Mytilus edulis: one gene and its partner. The main gene of each other region encodes a partner of the protein of the gene in region 2 in a complex. Links are inferred from orthologs where the notes say so. Each region holds a gene or a part of one and is shown on either strand. Other genes may lie near its edges.

Region 1 (7,304 bases), about 10 Mb from region 2:
TTCTAAACTGTCATCTTTTACTGTTATACTGAAAGAAAAATATTACATCATTAAAATATTTAAATTTCTTTACACCTTACAATGTATCCCTATTCCCTCCTGAACCTAAAATCTGTGCCGCTTGAACTATTGACCTATTCCCTCCTGAACCTAAAATCTGTGCCGCTTGAACTATTGACATGATACAACATTCACTTTTCCATTGTGGCATCAGATATTTTGTATTATGATGCCAACATTTTACAGGAACCTGTGTGATATCCAGTAATGGCAGACAAATAGCGATAAGGTGTATTCATATACCTTAAAATTGGATATTTTATTTGGATAATGGTTTGATTGATTGATCGCTGCTTAACATCCAGAGGTGAAAATTGTCATTATAATACCCTGCGTTGCACTACACTGACAGGTTGCGATAGATTCTTAACAGGCTAGGACATAAGGTTATTATAGTCAACAGGAGAACATGCCATCCTGCACTTACTGCATGAACACACTGTCCTGACTCCATGTCAACTTGTCTTGCTCTGATTACAAAATGTCTACACCTTTCAATCCCTTACGACCATGATGACATATTGAAATGTAGCATTAAAGCATATGGATTTTATTTTCTCCTGGTTTTGGAAATCTACATTTATTAACTGCAGAGATAAAAAAAAAATATTTTGGTGTAGCTGCATTGCTATAGTACTAGTATTGGCATATAACTCATATCTTATACATGTATATTTCTTTCATCATGTTCATATTTATTTCACCTACTTTATCAGCTGTTGTCCTGCAAATTTCTTCAGTAATTCTTCCACAACATCAAGTTTAACGGTCTGTTTGAGTATTTTAGATGAATGTTCTGCTATAACATTAGAACTACAGGGTATGTCTAGATCTATGTCACAGAGAGCCAACATTACTTTCTTCTCTAGAACAGGGTCTATCTTTGTAGGTTCAGCAGCCGGTGTGGACTTTACTGGACTGGAAGATGTAGATGGTATTGCTTTAACAGGGCTTGCTGATTCTGATTGGCTCTTTGTATCTGAAAAATAAAGTTCATGATTTGAGGCAAAATCAATTAAAAGTTCTTGTACAAAATTTTTATTTAAATTCAAATTCAAACCAGATGCTCCGCAGGTTGCAGCTTTATACGACCGCAGAGGTTGAACCCTGAATGGTTGGGGCAAGTATGGACACAACATTCAAGCTGGATTCAGCTCTAAATTTGGATTGTGATTAAATAGTTGACACAGCATAGGTTTCTGACACAGAATGAATGTGGTCTAATGAACTTAAAATATTTTTTTTGCCTTTGAGTTATTCACTATGCTGTTGAATATTAATCCTCTCAAAAAAATGTTTAAAGAAATTTTCTTTTTATTTATGAAATCTGAAATGAGAAAAATTTACCCCCCCCCCCCCCTCCCATTTTTTTTTCACATCCCCCTTTACCATGTTTACCTTTTTCCAAAACTGATCTCAATTCAAACTTCTAATGGAGTTTGCAACAATAACTACTCATTTAAGTACATCATAAAATATTAAAATATAAAATAAAGTGCTTGTTATCACTGAATGGTAAAGATTGTTTTAATTTATCAGTCGGTAGTAAAAGTGAATATGCATTGTATAATGTTTAGATTTAGCATATCAAAAAAGCCCAAGAATTCAATTTTTGTTAAAATCAAACTTAGTTTAATTTTGGACCCTTTGGACTTTAATGTAGACCAATTTGAAAAGTTATGGTGCGAAAACCAAGAACAATGCTTATTTGGGCCCTTTTTTGGCCCCTAATTTCTAAACTGTTGGAACCAAAACTCCCAAAATCAATACCAACCTTCCTTTTGTGGTCATAAACCTTGTGTCAAAATTTCATAGATTTCTATTTACTTAAACTAAAGTTATAGTGCTAAAACAAAGAAAATGCTTATTTGGGCCCTTTTTGGCCCCTAATTCCTAAAATATTGGGACCAAAACTCTCAAAATCAATCCCAATCTTCCTTTTGTGGTCATAAACCTTGTGTTAAAATTTCATAGATTTCTATTCACTTTTACTAAAAATAATGATTGTTGATTTAACTTGCTTTGATGTAAATACTGCATGTATTTATCTTGTTATGAGTGAGTAAAACTTTGAAGATCACGAGAGATAATTGTTTTTAACAGCTTGGCTCCTAAATTTGATCTCTTTTAAAAAAAAATATTCATAGCAATACACTTACGAAATATGATTAAGATTTTATCAACACATAAAAAACATTGTCAGAATTTCACTTTATTTAGAAAAAATGAACAAATCATTTTTATGTAGAGCAATACACTTGCTTTAACGGTATTATAAAGATTTATTCAACACGTCAAAAAAATGTTATCAGAACCTCACTATATGTAGAAACAATGAAAAAAATATTTATAAATAGCAATACACTTCATGCACTTTATTACCCAAACTCGATTCCAAATTGTATAACACAATACCCATAAAAATTGGTCTTGAACGTGTAGGGTGCGAACAGACTTTGAGTGCGAAAGTGTAGGGTGGGAAAGTGAAAGGGCGCCAACGTGAATGGGCGCGAAGGTGATTGCTCGCGAACAGACCCAGATTCATGAGACCTCCAGTAAAATGGTGTAAAAATAGCAATAAGATCAACATTAACGACAATGGAAAAAAAAATATATGGGTCAGCTATTTTGTGTGCTAATTCTCAGTTGCAAAATGGACAATTTCAATGAGAACCAGATAATGGTGTTTCACCTTCACTACTTGTTGTTGGTGAGATGCTAGACTTGGTGATTTCGGCTGCAATTTCCTCTCTTTCTTTTCGTCTCTGGAGCATTTTAGCTCTCAAGCTACTCTGTTTGCTTTTGATAGCTTGGATATCGCTCCATGCATCTGAATCTGACATGGTGGTGTCTTAAATCAGGTTCGTAAATAGGTAAATAGTTCGATCTCGAAATCAATTCTCTTTTTTTTTTAATTTGATCAGTGTCAATTATCTGCAATTCAAACAAACGAAATATTTTCTATTTTAAAGCGCTTAAAAGACCCAGAAGGGCACTTTTCTAAAATAACTGGTTCCCTGTTTGTAATTTTGTTGCTGATTTGCCTCAAATTAATATAAAAAGAACCAGAATAAAGTAGGAAAACATTGACAATGGCGTCACATGGAAGAGCACACGGCGTTCCCCACGGTTGGCCTAAACAATCTAATTCCGCATCCTTCCCAAAATATGGCACTGCAAATCCTCTCATAACTCTCGACAGACCAATCAATTTGTAAGCACTCTAGCCATATAGGTTCATGTGTCTTTTAATTTATCTATCAGAAATTCATGATCTTTCTTTTGTAGACTACTACTACTAGTACTAGTGCAACACTCCAACAGCAAGACAGGATCTGTATGATTCCGGATAAGTGTTCCTGGTTAATTAGTTCTTTTGAAGAATGCGTAAACCACAGACCCAACTTAATCAGGTCATGAACCATACCAGCTAACCCTCACATTGCGAGCGGGAGACTCTAGGGCAAACAACAAAATTACGGAAATCTCCCACTTGCCAGTCCAGTCCCGAACAGGATTAAAATCTCTCGCTTTTGGATATTTTGACCTGGAATAATACGAGTTCAAAATTCTCTGCCTTTTCAATAAAATGTTAAGCTTTTTTTTAAATTTGTTTCCTATTATACTTGCAGTGTTCTCCCCGGTATCAGGTCCGTTCGCGCCCAATATACTTTTGCACCCTACACGTTCGCACCTCGCACGTTCGCACCCAAGGTCCGTTCGCACTCTACACGTTCGCGCCCAATTTTAATTCAAATTCCAGTTGAATAATTTGAAAATCATGATTGTTGTTTTTAATTGCTTTCGTGTAAATACTGAATGTATTTATAGCTTGGTATGAGTAAAAGATTGAAGATTTTAAATGAAAAACACAAAAGATAATTGTTTTGAACAGCTTGGTCCCTTTGATCTGAAATAATGAAACAATACACTATTATATATCACTATACATGATAAAATTTAATCCAACACACACAAAAAAAAAGAAACGTAGTCAGAATCTCACTTCATTTTGAAACAAGTCAATGAAAAAAAGTTATAGCAATACACTAACCAAAACATGATAAACAATTATTCAACAGTTCAGTTCAGTTCAGTTTCTTGTATATTCCTCCATTAAATGTGGAGCACTACCCAAAGGGTATAGTTTGAGCAACTATTTACACCTTAAAACATAGGGAAACAATTAATTAAATTATATACAGATGACTGAATTTCAACACAAAATAAAACGTTGACAGAATCCCACTTTATTTAGAAAGGAATATAATTTTTTTTAACAATACACTAACCAAAACATGATTAAGATTTATTCAACACAAAAAAAATGCTGTCTCACTTTATTTTGAGACCATGAAAACAATTATACTTATAAGAATACTACGTACTTGCCAAAACTTGATTACAAAGTTATTAAACACAAAACCAATTAAAATTGGGCGCGAACATGTAGGGTGCGAACGGACTTTGGGTGCGAACATGTAGGGTGCGAAAATGAAAGGGGGCGAACATGTGTGGGTGCGAACGTGAATGGGCGCAAACGGACCCGGATTCGTTCTCCCCAGGCCGTTTTAGCGTCGCGGTACCGCGACGCTATATTTTTTCACCGTGATGCTATGATAATTCCAGCGACGCTATAATTATTACCGCAACGCTATAATTATTCCCGCCACGCTATAATTATTTTGAAGATGCTATTTTACTTGTCCTCAATTTTGAACTTTCATCTATTATTGATTATGATCATAAAAATTATATCACCTTTAATTGTAATCCCTTTAAGTCGGACACGAAAGGCAATTAAGAGATTAAATAGCTAGGTGTTAATTGCCCTCAGGGTGATAACTGTTTGGATGCGAATATCCCAAGCTGTCACTTGTGACATGATTAATACCACGTCACGTGTCTGCAATCACCAATTTCGACATGGAATAATGCAATCACAACACAATTCGAAATCTACGTTTTATATTACGAAATTTCAAAGATTGAAACGATTTTTATTTTTTTTTAAAAGGTCGTTTATTTGTGCAACTCTCCAAAAATTACTTTCTTTCTCTTCCAGTAATACGAGAGCGAGAATTTTGGTTTAGAGCTAAAATAAGTTTAATATTTCTTTAAAAAGTTATCATAATTGGCTGAAGTTTATGTTTAATCCATTTAATGCATTAAAAGCGTCTTATTCATTCACAATCTCTTGTCAAACAATGTTTATTCTCAGACTCATTTTCGTAAATTTTTCTACGGCCGCCATTGCACATTTTTGTGTAAACTACGGATAGGAACCGGACTAGATATGACAAAAATCCGCATTTTCACGATAATGACAACAGATGGACAGTAGACAGAAAAAATATACCACGAAAGAAAACTACGTATTAACAGACTATTTGTTAGATGACTTTGTTAAAAATACATATCATTTTGATGTAAAGATAAACAACTGGGACTAATTCATTGAGTGCCATGAAACAATGAATTTCATAAACATGATAAAAAAAAGTTTTTAAATTGAGGATTTTTTTGGCTACTTTATCTTTACTTAAAATAATATAAAAAATTGTTAATTTTGTGTACTAAATATTTAGTTTTGTATATATATACCGGTTGCACTATAATGAACCATTCATTCATTTGACTTATTATTGGGTAACTGAAACCACATATTTATTTTTATTTGGCACAAAAGGAAAAAAATAATTCTGATTACTATAAATGAATAAAGAAAACATAAACTGAAACAACTGTTTTTGTGGTTACAGTTTAATTGTATTCTCAGTTATGAATTGAACAATATAAACTAAAACATATAAAGGAAATAGAGCATCAACACGACGCGACAAATGACATTAAAAAAAATACTGTTATTTTTTTTAACGTAAAAATTTCTGGGGAGAACACTGACTTGTACTTTTCATTAACAGTGTTCTCCCCAGAAATTTTGGATAGCATCACATTTTGCGTAAAAAAAAATAAGTGTATTTTTTTTAATATTGTTTGTGATTGCATATTTCCATGTCGATATTGGTGATTGCAGACACGTGGTATTTAGTCATGTCACAAGTGTCAGCTTGGGATATTCGCATCCAAACACTTTTACAGTTATCACCCTGAGGGCAATTAACACCTAGCTATTTAATCTCTTAATTGCCTTTAGTGTCCGACTTAAAGGGATTACAATTAAAGGTGATATAATTTTTATGATCATAATCGATAATAGATGAAAGTTCAAAATTGAGGACAAGTAAAATAGCATCTTCAAAATAATTATAGCGTCGGCTACGCCTCATGGTGTACTGGGGTACTTCAGGGTGTTAAAATACCCATATCTATGGATATGAACGATACGCCTCATGGTGTACTGGGGTACTTCAGGGTGTTAAAATACCCATATCTACGGATATGAACGTAGATAACTTATAATAACACCATATAAAATATAGTTTTTCGATCATATCTATTGGTTAATATTCAGCTTTGGAGTTCTTAAGAAAATGTGGTTTTGATAAGGGATGTCAACTCTGTAAAAATTTACTAATCAAGTATAACATACAAGTTGGATTTATTGAGCGATACTCAAGTACTCGCTCGGTTACACACTTACCAAATGGAAACACAAAATTATACCCAATAAAAATGTTTTCTGTTTAAACTTAAGAAAACAATAACATTCTAACAGGAAACCAAATAGTTGAGCAATACTTGAGTACTTGTTGACATCCCTAGTTTTGATGATATGAATTAATAGACCACTCTTCAGTTATGTCCTTCAATGGAAAAGTTTGTCAGTTATGCTTTTAGCTTCTTTATGACATCATTAATCAGATGGAGTGGATCCCTTGTATCTATCAAGCTTCTTCATGATTATAATTTATTATGCAGCACAAACTAGAAATTAAACCAAAGTATATAAGGGAATGCAACTAAGTAGAAGGATGTCTATTGCAGTAGAATGTATTAGAATGTGAATTACACAGAAATCGACCTTATGCAAGTGAATATCAATACTTTTTTTTATCCTATTTCTGATGGAAAAAATCTATATCAAAAGTCGGTAACTGTTTGAAACTTTGAGTTGTTTTAAGAACACTATAAAACAGACTAAAATTCATCTTTTATTTTATATTCGAACATGTTGAATGTTTTTAAAACCAATCACAGTTGTGTACATGTAAATGTGTACTTGCATAAGGTCGATTTCTATCCGACGCAGCTCACATGTATATACATGTAATAGAATGTGA
Region 2 (7,656 bases):
GCTATAGATATGGTCATGTAAAGTAATGTTTTTAAATAGTTAGAGTATTAGCTAACTTACACTCCAAGACTCTCAAAGGTAGCTGCATTAGGTTTACTGAGGTTGTTGACAAATAGTTCTAACTTGAATATAGATGGGTTAGTAGCCCTGAAATAAAATAAAAAAACAAAACTTAAGAATACTGTGGATTCAATTGTTTTTTTGGATATCAATTTTCATGGCTTAAGGAAAAACTGTTTCATCATTGATATCATATTTCATGGTTTTAACAAGCTCTTCTTACCAAGACTAAACAAAATTTGCAATTAGTCAAACATTTAAATCCCAGGTTCACCTATACCACTAAGTCATTGATTTTTTTATTCAACAATTAATAATCAATCCAAAGTAGAGAAGAATCACTTTAAGAACAGTATTTCAAGGAGTTTCAAAATGAAAAATAAAACCTTCCTAGATCTACATGTACATACATATGTATATATAGATGTACATAACTTAATAATTTCATGTCACAATTTTTTTTTGTATGTGTTTAACGCCATTTTTAGCAGCATTGGCAATATCATGATGGTGACTGATTCTTATTGGTAGAGGAAGCTTGTGAACCTGGAGAGAACCATACAACTATATATGTCAATCATTTGTTTAATATGAACAGGGTAGTTTTGAATGGAATTTGAATCACCATGTTAAAAGTGGACAGGCTAGTGATTACTGTAAATGAACTAAATTTTGTACTATGATCACTCTGAGGACCAACTGTCACAATTGAAATAGTAAGGAAAACTTTCTGCTGATAGTTACAATGTAGGTACATGTATTTTCATTGCCATGTTATCATTTTCATTTTTTTTTGCCTAGTCATGATAGTAGTATAAACCCTTCAAATATTTGAAATTTCTTGTTTCAATAACCAATCCCAAGGAATACAAATATATGTATAGATTTAACAGGTTATGAATGTTTTAATTGTTATGTTCTGTTTTCAAACTTTTAATACCACTTTACCATGTTTACTGAACTGCAGATCTAGAGTATTTTTAATATTTGTAAAATTTGGCTTTGTAAAAAAAGTTCTTCCCTTTAAACTAATATTGTTTTTCTTTTCGAATACTGCATGGGATGAATAAGTGCTGCTACAGGTACATGGTTGTGGGGATGATTTCTTATTATCTAACTAAACTCTAATAAATATTAAAACAACAGCTTTGCATTTTGGTGTATACTAGTTAAGAAGAAAAGATAAGATGACGTCAACCTTGGATACAATGTTACTTCCGAGATGTTGCTGGTTATGCTGTTTTCTCAACACTTTCAGGGCTTCAAAAAAGTATTATATGCAGAAGAGAAAATTGAAATACAATATATACATGTACATATAACTTAAATTAAATTTAGATTATTGTCATCTAAGAATACATGTAGTTGTCTTTTTCTAGGCAAAATATAAGGTGACATTGATCTTGGATACAATGTTACTTCTGAGACGTTGCTGGTCCAGAGGTCTTCTGGACAATGGTCAACACAGTGAACACACTGTATGTTGCATTGTTGTATTCAAGACATGGAAGTACATTTTATTCCTTTTACTAATAGTTTGTGTACATGCATATGTCTCTAATCATCAAGATCATTATTCTGATCCTTTATCTTTTACTTGATGTACATGTAGCTTACCCTAGCCTAACACCTCCTGGTACATCTGCTTCAACTTTGGTTTGCAGGGGTATTACCCTGATTTCCTGAATAATAACTGGCCTTGGAAACTGTACCAAGTCTAAATTTAACTCCTATAAAGAGAATAAAAGAAAGTGAATACAAATTCTCCAGTGTGAAGAGGAACACTGTGGGGAATATAAAATTTGTTTAGTGTTAAAGTAAAATATTCAATGCATTGATTCATGCAAGGTAGGGATTTTTTGCATTTGTTAAAGGGTACAAAAAGCATCCAAAGTGGAAATGGTTGTGACCTATAAAAAAATTGTAGGCCACCTTCTTCTATTTATATAGATAATCACCCTTCCCATGGATAGAAACAAGTGTCTGTGCCCAATCGGATAATTATTAAATCAATTAATTCATATTATATGTGATGAACCATGATGTTGATCAAACTATGACAAAGCGGTTTCTAATGAACAGCTCATGAATAAATGTGTACATATTTAAAAATAATTTAAAATGATGCTTTGACACAAATCCATCGATGCAACTAAAAAGATAATAAATGTAATATTTTTTAGATCCAGTTTCATTTTAAGGTTCATCATAAGGAATTGAAAAATATGGCCGTGTTTACACCTAAAAAATTACTATGAGTGCAGACAAACTGGTACATCCAGGAAAGTTTTAAGGCATGGCAGGAACTAGATATATAAAAGTTATACGAAGTCTACGTTTCAGAAAATTAAAAACTTACCTGGATTTTCATGTCCAGTTTTTTTCAGTCTGCAGAAGATAGCAAAATAAACAAACACCCGAGTTTCATTTGATACGGTCCACTCAGTTACACAGTTTAAATCACCTATTGTTTACAGGTGTCTATTGTCCATCCATTGTCCATTTAAATCAATACTACTCACAACATTGATTATATGAGGGGAGCTTCTCAATCGTTTTCACTACTTAGTTAATTTTTGCACCTTCTGCAGGAACGAAAAAAACTGGAAGGCAAAATCTAGAAAAGTTTATAATTTTCTAAAACATAAAATGCATTTAAAATTTATATACCTAGTTCCTGCCATCCCTTAAAACTGTTGCAAGTGCATAGGTTAGTCTGTACCCAGAGTAAAATTTGGGGTGTAAATACGGCCATATTAGCCAAAAGGTTATGATGAACCTTAAAAATAATAATACACGTCAAATGCGGCTATTTTATGTTGCATTTAATGGATTTATACACGAATGAAAGTTATTTGTGTTTGATACTGGAATAAATACACTCTTTATAAACCATATACCTCAGCGCTTTCGTGAGAAAACGTATCAAAAAACAACAACTCGGGTTCCTGCCCGGTGTCAGCCATTTTTTGGAAATAGTAAAAAATGGATCGAAGATGGTTTGGTACAGAAAATACGGAACGAGAATAATTGTCTTTGCTATCTCAATATTGTTAGGTGAATTGTCGTATTGTTTGTATTATAACCCACATTCCGTGTTATTTATATAACTCAGGTCAAAAGAAATATGCATAATAAAAACGATTAATCACAGTGGTCGAAAACTCCCACATTATTATTCCCAGAAATCTGTCTCTCATTGAAAAATGTTTTCCTATACAGTATACCTTTAATGATATATTAAGATATCATAGGCGGATCTAAGGGGGATCGCGGCCGGATCCCCCCCCCCCCCCCTTTTGTAGAAAAAAAATGAGTGATTATACGGTAAGTCAGTGGACCCCTTCTAAGAAGTTCTGGATCAGCCACTGGGTATAAAGTGTTTTTTTCCAGAGACAAAATTCCTGTGAATCACGACGGTGGAAAGATTGTATAATTCAAAAAATATAATATGTATTTAGGTATAGTGCGAGCAATAAAACATTTATAATATATAGCACTATTGTAAGCAGTTGCATTTTAATATATATTACTGCAGTTTTCAAAAATATATAACCAATTTGTCAGCGGATTGTCGTGAGTCAATATGATAGCAGATACTATTCATGATTGGCATAATGTGACAACTTTTCATATCATAATCAAACAGTATGTGCATTGCGGTCAGTTCATGTTTTAAATTTTCATCTATAAATAAAAACATCAAGATCAAGCACGTACATATGTCATTATTTTATACGTCTTTACATTGACATGTTATTTTCCTCTTCTTATAATTGAAACACTTAAATATGACACTCAGTAAAGCAGCAGCGTAAGAGTAGACTGAAAAGACACAGAGAAAAAGGGGGGTGGGGTAGTATTCTGTGAGATTGTATATTTGTTCTGCATAATATATGTTCCACATATATATGCATGGAACAAAAAAGTATGTTATAAAATTCCTGGAACTTAAATTACATGATATTTATTGAGGGTGAGGCAAAAAATATATAAATACTGTAAGTGGAGCATGAATCATCAATTAAATACATGGCATGGGCTGCGCCATCCGCATGATCCGCGAACGACCTAGATTAGAGAAACACATAAACGATATGAAAAGGCAAGCCAAGAGAAACCTTGGTTGATAACACTGAAATCTCTACATAGTCTGAAGATTCCTAAAAAGACAGGGTTATAAGATATACGTAAGACCAACAATGGAATATGCTTCGACAATATGCTACCCATATCAGTAAAAGCCCAAAGTAACAATCGAAAAAGTACAAAGACGAGCTAACTGCGCGGTGTGTAAGAAGAAGACATGGAAAAAGACCAAGTGACATCAACATGATACAAGAACTAGGATGGAAAAACTTACAAGCGAAGCACAAGGCAACAGGAATTTTTGTGTGCTGTACAATTTAACAAATGACCTGGTAGCTATAGACAAGAACAACAAAAAAATCTACAGAATCCAACAACAAGCTCTAATGGAACAGGAAATCATACATGATACATCAGTTATAGCTGACAACATATTGATTTATTTGTATTTGATTCTCGCAATTGCAAGCATATTTTTTAGCGGTATATAATAGTATTTGTTCTTGTACTCGTGATATTCTTTCCTGTTTGTTATATTTGAATGTTTTGTCATTAGAGAATTTAGTTTGATGTTATATTTGCTATCTACTCTTCAATCTTTATTTCATTTTTAAGACTCAGGTGATGTAGAGTTAAATATGATGTCTGTTGTTGTATAGTTGAAAATTATGATGCCTTGTAGATCGACGTCCTTCGAATATTTATTTTAGTACAGGTATTGTTCATATCTTTATATTCAGACTATAAAATAGTATCACAAAAATACCGAGCTCCAATGTACTTGAGTATATTACAAGTGGAGGTCTATAAAATACCGAGCTCCAATGTACTTGAGTATATTACAAGTGGAGGTCTATAAAATACCGAGCTCCAATGTACTTGAGTATATTACAAGGGGAGGTCTATAAAATACCGAGCTCCAATGTACTTGAGTATATTACAAGGGGAAGTCTATAAAATACCGAGCTCCAATGTACTTGAGTATATTACAAGGGGAGGTCTATAAAATACCGAGCTCCAATGTACTTGAGTATATTACAAGGGGAGGTCTATAAAATACCGAGCTCCAATGTACTTGAGTATATTACAAGGGGAGGTCTATAAAATACTGAGCTCCAATGTACTTGAGTATATTACAAGGGGAGGTCTATAAAATACTGAGCTCCAATGTACTTGAGTATATTACAAGGAGAGGTCTATAAAATACTGAGCTTCAATGTACTTGAGTATATTACAAGGGGAGGTCTATAAAATACCGAGCTCCAATGTACTTGAGTATATTACAAGGGGAGGTCTATAAAATACCGAGCTCCAATGTACTTGAGTATATTACAAGGGGAGGTCTATAAAATACCGAGCTCCAATGTACTTGAGTATATTACAAGTGGATGTCTATAAAACACCGAGCTCCAATGTACTTGAGTATATTACAAGTGGATGTCTATAAAATACCGAGCTCCAATGTACTTGAGTATATTACAAGTGGAAGTCTATAAAATACCTAGCTCCAATGTACTTGAGTATATTACAAGGGGAGGTCTATAAAATACCGAGCTCCAATGTACTTGAGTATATTACAAGGGGAGGTCTATAAAATACTGAGCTCCAATGTACTTGAGTATATTACAAGGGGAGGTCTATAAAATACCGAGCTCCAATGTACTTGAGTATATTACAAGGGGAGGTCTATAAAATACCGAGCTTCAATGTACTTCAGTATATTACAAGGGAAGGTCTATAAAATACCGAGCTCCAATGTACTTGAGTATATTACAAGGGGAGGTCTATAAAATACTGAGCTCCAATGTACTTGAGTATATTACAAGGGGAGGTCTATAAAATACTGAGCTCCAATGTACTTGAGTATATTACAAGGAGAGGTCTATAAAATACTGAGCTTCAATGTACTTGAGTATATTACAAGGGGAGGTCTATAAAATACCGAGCTCCAATGTACTTGAGTATATTACAAGGGGAGGTCTATAAAATACCGAGCTCCAATGTACTTGAGTATATTACAAGGGGAGGTCTATAAAATACCGAGCTCCAATGTACTTGAGTATATTACAAGTGGATGTCTATAAAACACCGAGCTCCAATGTACTTGAGTATATTACAAGTGGATGTCTATAAAATACCGAGCTCCAATGTACTTGAGTATATTACAAGTGGAAGTCTATAAAATACCTAGCTCCAATGTACTTGAGTATATTACAAGGGGAGGTCTATAAAATACCGAGCTCCAATGTACTTGAGTATATTACAAGGGGAGGTCTATAAAATACTGAGCTCCAATGTACTTGAGTATATTACAAGGGGAGGTCTATAAAATACCGAGCTCCAATGTACTTGAGTATATTACAAGGGGAGGTCTATAAAATACCGAGCTTCAATGTACTTCAGTATATTACAAGGGAAGGTCTATAAAATACCGAGCTCCAATGTACTTGAGTATATTACAAGGGGAGGTCTATAAAATACCGAGCTCCAATGCACTTGAGTATATTACAAGGGGAGGTCTATAAAATACCGAGCTCCAATGTACTTGAGTTTATTACAAGGGGAGGTCTATAAAATACTGAGCTCCAATGTACTTGAGTATATTACAAGGGGAGGTCTATAAAATACTGAGCTCCAATGTACTTGAGTATATTACAAGGGGAGGTCTATTAAATACCGAGCTCCAATGTACTTGAGTATATTACAAGTGGAGGTCTATAAAATACCGAGCTCCAATGTACTTGAGTATATTACAAGGGGAGGTTTATACCGAGCTCCAATGTACTTGAGTATATTATAAGGGGAGGTCTTTAAAAACTGATCAAATCAAACGTTAGACTTTATCAACTAACTACGGGGATTTTTCAGAAACAATTTTTATCGTATACATGTGCTATTTTGTCATTGGCAGATGTAATTGTTGAGGGGTGGGTGTTGCACTATTAACACATTACCGTACAACCTCTCAATGCGACTATTCAAAAGTAGGCGACAACGATGTCGTCTTTCTATTTATTTTTATGCCCCACCTACGATAGTAGAGGGGCATTATGTTTTCTGGTCTGTGCCTCCGTTCGTCCGTCCGTCCGTCTGTGTCTCCGTTCGTCTGTCCGGTTAAAGTTTTTGGTCGAGGTAGTTTTTGATGAAGCTGAAGTCCAATCAACTTGAATCTTTCTAATTTTAATGCCAAATTATAGTTTTGACCCCAATTTCATGGTCCACTGAACATAGAAAATGATAGTACAAAGTTCAGGTTAAAGTTTTTGGTCAAGGTAGCTTTTGATGAAGTTAAAGTTACATCAACTTGAAACTTAGTACACATGTTCCCTATGATATGATCTTTCTAATTTTAATTCCAAATTAAAGTTTTGACCCCAATTTCACGGTCCACTGAACATAGAAAATGATAGTGGGAGTGGGGCATCCGTGTACTATGGACACATTCTTGTTGGAATGTTATATTGAACAATGTTAAACCAGTAGTGTAAAAAGAGCGACCTTTGTTCA

What was found. The genes of interacting proteins can lie anywhere in the genome.
Region 1: protein virilizer homolog (region 2) and N(6)-adenosine-methyltransferase catalytic subunit METTL3-like share a complex: the UniProt entries of both Drosophila melanogaster proteins name them as parts of the WMM complex. The link is inferred for Mytilus edulis from reciprocal best matches to the Drosophila melanogaster genes vir and Mettl3.

The regions. Positions count from the first base shown.
Region 1 is NC_092348.1:95,909,531-95,916,834, forward strand, and holds the start of N(6)-adenosine-methyltransferase catalytic subunit METTL3-like, read right to left. Parts: upstream 3,028-7,304; 5' UTR 2,904-3,027; coding exon 2,753-2,903; intron 1,040-2,752; coding exon 769-1,039; intron 29-768; coding exon 1-28. Other genes in the region: cleavage and polyadenylation specificity factor subunit 5-like, read left to right, coding at 3,153-3,274. UniProt on the Drosophila melanogaster protein: Catalytic component of the WMM complex, a complex that mediates N6-methyladenosine (m6A) methylation of mRNAs, a modification that plays a role in the efficiency of mRNA splicing and is required for sex determination.
Region 2 is NC_092348.1:85,678,835-85,686,490, forward strand, and holds the start of protein virilizer homolog, read right to left. Parts: upstream 3,084-7,656; 5' UTR 3,027-3,083; coding exon 2,961-3,026; intron 1,791-2,960; coding exon 1,678-1,790; intron 148-1,677; coding exon 61-147; intron 1-60. UniProt on the Drosophila melanogaster protein: Associated component of the WMM complex, a complex that mediates N6-methyladenosine (m6A) methylation of mRNAs, a modification that plays a role in the efficiency of mRNA splicing and is required for sex determination.